Linked DNA regions of Saccharomyces cerevisiae S288C. The gene in region 1 interacts genetically with each later gene. Each region holds a gene or a part of one and is shown in the gene's direction. Other genes may lie near its edges.

Region 1 (3,416 bases):
AATATCTGCACCTTTACGCATAAAAAATGTGATCTTCCTTTCATCAGAAGAACAACTTGCTGCTAACGCTCTTGCCATAAGTGTTTTACCCGTACCAGGAGGACCATGGAAAAGAACACCCCTTGGGGGCGTGATATTAAAATTTTGATACAATTCTGGGTATAATAGTGGTAAGGCCACCATTTCCTTTAATTGGTCAATGTAGTTGTCTAAACCACCTATATCGTCAAAATTTACATTCATGTCTACGCCTAATGGATCGAGGTCTGCAATTTCTGGTTTTTTCTTCTTCTTTTTTTGCGTGTTCTCTTTCTTTGTTTTCGGTGTCACGCCAAGAGGTAATATCTCATCATCGGAAGAGTCTGAATCCAGTATTAATTTATTGTTGTTATTATCACTGAATGCAGATGGGACTTGGTTGTAAAAATTAGTATTCTTACCAAATATTGTAGTTACGTCATTGCCACCAAAAGGTCCACCAGTGGGAAAAAGCCTTCTTGTGGGACCAGAATTTTGACTAGCATTCCAACCACCGCGACCACGCCGTGCAGGTGATGGGTTATGAAAAGAAAGTGCATTGTTATTCTTATCTATAAATTCTTCTGCGTTGCTAGCAGTTAGTGGTGGTGGTAATTTGTAATTTACCGGCTTAGTTCTTTCGCGAAGAAATCTTTTTTCCCTGATAGGACTATCTTCCTGTAACTCTCTAATTTCATCAGCTAAAGTTAACGCTTCATTCCTGCTATTATCATTCTCATCGTCATTTTCTTCATTTGAAGTACGCGAATGTCTTGTCCTACTTCTTAAAGCTCTTCTTACCGGTGGTGGAGTTTCTGGGTGACGTGACGATCTTGTTCTTCGAGAATTTGCCCTTTTCAAACGTTTAGAAGAAGCCGAATGGCTTATTCTGTCTCCTTCTTCGTCATCCTCATCGTATTCTTCATCGTCATCAGGGTCTGGTACTACAAATTTCCTATCGGCCGCTCTGCGCCGACGGTTGTTATCCTTCGAGTCTTCATCCAAATACTCATCTTCAAATTCGTCTGCTTCTTCCTCCTCTTCATCATCGTCGACATCTTCCTCATGAAAACTTTCGTCATCTTCTTCTGGATCATGCGCTTTTCTTTTTCTCAAGTTCCTTTCATTAGTAAGCTCTTCGTTCGTTCTGGCGTTTTCGTGCGGTGATACAAGATCAACATCATCGTCTTCATCATCGCCTTTCTGGTTGTTGTTATGATGTTCATCACTAGTAACATCAACGGGCGTCTCATCTTTGTCCATGACCTGGTCATCTTCCAAAAAATCAAACACTTTCTCAATTTCTGCGTAGTTTATTTTTCTCAAAGAGCGAGTTGTTGTATGGATTATGCCATTTTCGTCTTTAATCTGTGTTTCATACCCAACCTTTGCGTTGCTTGCATCTTCAACGTCGCTACCGCGTCTATTCCTTAAATTTCGTGCCATGTTCTTTCTGCACCAATTGTGAATAAATAGCGAGAAGAGAGAAATAGACCGTGGTAACTTCTTTTTATGACTGTCGAAAACAACAATGGGTTAGTAAGGAGTACGCAAGATCCTTCAGACGTTTTGCTTTATTTAAGACCCTACGCAGTTCCTTTTCTGCTCCTTTTCGTCCCAATATTGCTCTTTCGCTACCACTTTGTCCTTTTTCGCACACATGGCCGTACAAAATAACAGACGGTACGTTTTTAGTGATAATAAACAAGTTTATAGAGGCAGAAAAAAATTCCTCAGCGGCTAATGCCTCAACAAGTTCAGCTGCAAACGATGAAAAGACGCACACAAAAGCGAATAGAAATAACCGATCACCACAGTTCCTCTTTAAAACATCTCAAACTCAGCATTAACTTTCAAATCAATCCAGTGAAAGTATGCTTGGTTTGACACTTCACTGCCATTTCCTCCTGCCTGCCTATCTGATGCTTTGCCACCACAAGAGTGTTTTCCCTATGGCTTAATCGCTTTTTTCCATTTATTTTTCTCTTTCCCCCTTTTAATAGAGGGAAGAGAGCAGAACATACAAACATATCATTTTCTACGGTATAGCCTCCGCCTCCATCTTTAATAGTGACACTTCCATCAAGGGAATAAAGAGGCTTCAAGTCAAGAACTAAGCAGTCCCAAAAAATACCCATAAAACGAGTATAAACCATACTGTTATGTCTAAAGACACGCATGATGATGAACTGCCGAGCTACGAGGACGTAATCAAGGAAGAGGAGAGATTGCAATCTCAACCGCCACGACCACCAAGACCAGCAGCTAACTTGGCGCAAGGGCACCAATCAAGACCCCACCAAAGGCCCTCGACAATGCCAGCAACGTCCTCATCCCAAACATATGCTCACTCACACTCTTATACGCCTACAAGTTCCCAACCACGGCCTCCACCGAGGCCACAACAGAATCCTAGCTTGCCCTGGACATACCCTCCCAGGTTTTACTGTTCCAAGTGTGGAAATACGGGTTACAAGTTGAAGAATGGACGATCTTGCAAGTCGTGTTGGAGGAGGTTTGCACCTCAAAATAACGTTGTTTCTGCACCGACATATTACACAAACTATACAATGCCCGTGTACACCAACGCATGGCAGGGTAATAGGCCCTTGTACGTTCAACCAGGGGATCCTCGCCTGGGTGGCGTGCTATGTGGTGAATGCAGAGGGTCCGGACGCACCAGATTCCTGTTGGACGAAGATATATGTCCTCTTTGTCATGGTGTAGGCAGAATTATCACCCAGCCTCAACGCTATTAGCGCATGAAAATTTAGGATTTGGATGACCCGGTACGGCCTTAGTAGAAAAGCTGTGTCGCTCACCGAAAAGAAAAAAGACCGAACAACTGTAGGATGAAAAGCATATTTTAATGCTCCTAATTTTCAAACATGTCTATTACATACTTATCACATAATCCGACTGATTTGCCCTTCTTTAACTTCTTTCATTTATTTTTACGGTGCCAACCGTCTGATCGATATAGCATCCGTTCATAAAATATTATACGACTCCATCCTCAATCGTGATTGTGCGTGCGTGACTCATTTTTTGTTAGAACCAATACTTTCAATCATCCCAAAATGCATAACATCCAATTAGTGCAAGAGATAGAAAGACATGAAACCCCGTTAAACATTAGACCTACCTCTCCATACACTTTAAACCCTCCTGTCGAGAGAGATGGGTTTTCTTGGCCAAGTGTGGGTACAAGACAACGTGCAGAGGAAACTGAAGAGGAGGAAAAGGAACGAATTCAACGCATTTCAGGCGCTATCAAGACAATTTTGACCGAACTGGGTGAAGATGTCAACAGAGAAGGTCTACTAGATACTCCACAAAGATACGCTAAAGCCATGCTTTATTTCACTAAAGGTTACCAAACGAACATTATGGACGAT
Region 2 (3,878 bases), on another chromosome or scaffold:
CAAGAGTTTGGAGAGAGCAGTGGAAGAGTTACAAACTAAGAACTCCCAACAAACAGATGTAATAGAACTAGCGAATAAAAATAGAAGCGAATTTGAGGAAGCTACTTTGAAATATGAGGCTCAAATCTCTGACTTAGAAAAGTACATTTCTCAACAAGAGCTTGAGATGAAAAAATCCATTAGAGATAATTCTTCTTACCGCGACAAAGTGCAGGAAATGGCCCAAGAAATTGAATTCTGGAAAAGCCGTTATGAATCTACCATGATAGGCTCGAAAAATATTGATAGTAACAATGCACAGAGTAAAATTTTCAGTTAACGAACTTTTTTTTAAAAATTTGGAAGACTTTATATCCTTTATTTAAAAAAATAATGATGAGATGTTTTGTATATACAGAATGAGAATATGCATTATTAACAGAAAAAGACGACACGAGCGTTATATACTAAGTGGCATGAACTCTTTCACCCCGTATCCTTCGATAGTAGTCTTAAAGGTGGTACATAAAATAAAGAAAATAACCGATTCAATAGATAAGCAGCGGAAATAAAGTCTTTTTCCTATCTTGAAATCTCCAAAATAAAAGTAATAAAGTACTGCTAAAGTTGTTCAAAACCAACCCTTCTTCTTGGGACTATCGTTTTTGGAGGAGGAGCTGTTACCCAATCCATATGCCTTCAGTACATTTTCCACATCTCCAAAGGATCCTCTGTCTCCTTGCATTACAACAGTAGCTCTACCCTTACCATTGCCAGCATTATTTACATTTCCCGTAAATATCATTTCGGCAACACGTGAGATATCATCTGGCTTCAAATCTTCGATCTTACTTATCATTTCGTTGACTGGGATTTTGCGACCATGCATGAGAACTTGTCTGCCCATATCTTCCAATTCTACCAGTTTAGACTCTAGGTTCATTAGTAGTGAAGACTTCAACTGATTCTTGGCCCTGGAGACTTCGTCTTCAGTTAACCTCAAATCCTTATTAGCAAATGTATTATACATTTGCTGTGCAATTACCTCAACCGCTTGAGGAGCTGCCTGCGGTATACAAGATAATGAAATACCGAAAATACCAGAATCCGAATAAGAATGGTTGAACGCAACACAATTTTCAACAAAGTAATACTGGTTCAAAACGTGGGTATACAAACGAGAATACATCCCCTTTCCTGGCCCACCAGCACTGAAAGAACCACCACCTCCAAGTAAAGTTTGTAATGTTGCTAAAGCATAAATGTCTGGATGATCTATAGGGAGACCTTCAAATCCGATCTGGATGTGGAATAATTCTGGTAAATTCCCAAACACTGGTGCTGGTGGAATACAACTTTCCCCGCCCGTATATTGGGCAACTTTTTTGGTGATCGGAGGGTGTGTAGATTGCCAGTCACCGAGATACTTTTCTGTAAGCTCTAATGCCTTTTCGTGAGGAACACCAACAAATGCCGCAACAGTATTTTCTGGGGTGTAGAATTTATTTCTGTAGTCCAATAAGTAGTATTTAGAAATAGAAGGAATGAGCTCTCTAGGGCAGATTAAAGGGGACCCCAAAGTTTCTCCGGAGTATGCTGCTGTGTGCAACAGCTCAGGTAATACCAATTCTGGCTTCATCCAAACTTCATCGATTTCATACTCTGCCGACAGCTTCTGTTCTTGCAGTTCTTGCTCAGTAATCTTAGGGAACCTCACAGTTTCTGACATTAATTGAAGCATTTTACCCACATCCTGGTTGAACACAGAAGCCTGATACATCAAATTTTCTCTAGACGAGGTACACTGGTAATTCCCACCCAGTAACTCCAACGTCTCTGCCATTGCTCGGCCCTCGACGTGTTCGGTTGATTTGAATGCTAGTCTATCCAAGATATGTGTACAACCCTTCAAATTCCTACCTTCAAACCGTGATCCTGCGTCGATGTATAGGCCTAAGGCACTAAAGTGTCCAGGAGTATTTGATGTCGCCACTTTCAGTCCATTCGCTAGTGACGAAAGCTTAAAATTATCGGTTCTAGCGATGTTAGAGTACAACCTCTGAACGCCGTTCCTTAGCATCTTTTGTTATTAATCAGCTCTCTGCTTTGCATTAATTTGACCACCTGCCCTGAAACACCTTTCTTCTAGTCCACCTGTGTAGGCTTTTTCACCTGAATTGTTCATTCTCGATACGCCCTCACGCCGGATGAAAAATTTGTGCAAGAGTCATCATCTCGAAAAGATATGGTGATAAAAACAAGTGTACTTCTAACCTGCCTAATGGTTATAACAGTAGCATAAAGTAGATATACGGACTACAGAAAATGGTTCGTGCCTTCAAAATTAAAGTTCCAGCTTCTTCCGCCAATATCGGCCCTGGTTATGATGTTCTTGGTGTCGGTCTTTCTCTATTCTTGGAGTTAGATGTCACCATCGACTCCAGCCAAGCTCAGGAAACAAACGACGATCCCAACAACTGCAAGCTGTCTTACACTAAAGAAAGTGAAGGCTATTCTACGGTCCCATTGCGTTCTGATGCTAACCTGATTACCAGGACTGCGTTATATGTGTTGCGTTGCAACAATATTAGAAACTTCCCCTCCGGAACCAAAGTTCACGTCTCCAACCCAATCCCACTTGGCCGTGGATTGGGTTCCTCTGGTGCAGCAGTTGTGGCAGGTGTTATTTTAGGTAACGAAGTGGCCCAATTGGGTTTCTCTAAGCAACGTATGTTGGACTACTGTTTGATGATTGAACGTCATCCAGACAACATAACCGCTGCTATGATGGGAGGCTTTTGCGGTTCATTCCTAAGGGACTTGACCCCACAAGAGGTGGAAAGACGTGAGATTCCATTGGCTGAGGTGCTTCCAGAACCTTCTGGTGGTGAAGATACCGGTCTGGTTCCCCCATTACCTCCCACCGATATCGGTAGACATGTCAAATACCAATGGAACCCCGCCATTAAATGTATTGCGATCATCCCACAGTTCGAGTTGTCCACCGCCGACTCCAGAGGCGTTCTTCCAAAAGCCTACCCAACCCAGGACTTGGTTTTCAATCTACAAAGATTGGCCGTCTTGACCACAGCTTTGACCATGGACCCACCTAATGCCGACTTAATCTACCCTGCTATGCAAGATCGTGTCCACCAACCTTATAGAAAGACATTGATCCCAGGTCTCACGGAAATCTTATCATGTGTCACCCCATCCACATACCCTGGCCTATTGGGTATCTGCTTGTCAGGTGCAGGCCCAACTATCTTGGCTTTGGCCACTGAGAATTTCGAAGAAATCTCTCAAGAAATTATCAACAGGTTCGCCAAAAACGGCATCAAGTGCTCCTGGAAACTACTGGAGCCTGCCTACGATGGTGCTAGCGTCGAACAGCAATGAAATGTCCTTTACCCCTAGTATACTGTGTTAAATACTATTGTAGACCATATACATACTGTAATTGACCGTTAACGGTTATTATGCTGAGTCTTCTTCCGTTACCCGTCTTTTCTATCTATTTCGAAAATAAAAAATAAGTGAAAAGAACGAAATTTCACAACCATTAACAATACAGATAATGAATCGAAGTTGTTTTCAGTCTCAATTCAAAAGACTCATAGCCAAGGCCAGTTGATTGATTTAGCCACAAGTATCATTCAACGTAATATCCACAGGTGTTTTTTTTCTCACCGGAAGGCGAATAAAATACAGGAGCTAGAGCGTGTAAGATAATGAACAAGGAATCTAAAGATGATGATATGTCCTTGGGGAAGTTTTCCTTCTCCCACTTCCTATATTACTTGGTGCTAATAGTAGTAATAGTGTACGGTTTGTACAAGCTTTTCACTGGACATGGATCCGACATTAATTTCGGGAAGTTCTTGTTAAGGACATCCCCT

The links.
Region 2: of HUA1 (region 1) and THR1, extra expression of one rescues a mutant of the other (dosage rescue), as found in Saccharomyces cerevisiae (one study listed by BioGRID).

What each region holds. Positions count from the first base shown.
Region 1 is NC_001139.9:1,025,418-1,028,833, reverse strand, and holds HUA1 (Hua1p), read left to right. Parts: upstream 1-2,180; coding exon 2,181-2,777; downstream 2,778-3,416. Other genes in the region: chromatin segregase YTA7, read right to left, coding at 1-1,464; FOL2 (GTP cyclohydrolase I), read left to right, coding at 3,099-3,416. UniProt on the Saccharomyces cerevisiae protein: May be involved in assembly and disassembly of the actin cytoskeleton.
Region 2 is NC_001140.6:157,134-161,011, forward strand, and holds THR1 (homoserine kinase), read left to right. Parts: upstream 1-2,304; coding exon 2,305-3,378; downstream 3,379-3,878. Other genes in the region: MYO1 (myosin 1), read left to right, coding at 1-319; MAS2 (mitochondrial-processing protease subunit alpha), read right to left, coding at 611-2,059; VMA16 (H(+)-transporting V0 sector ATPase subunit c''), read left to right, coding at 3,711-3,878. UniProt on the Saccharomyces cerevisiae protein: Commits homoserine to the threonine biosynthesis pathway by catalyzing its O-phosphorylation.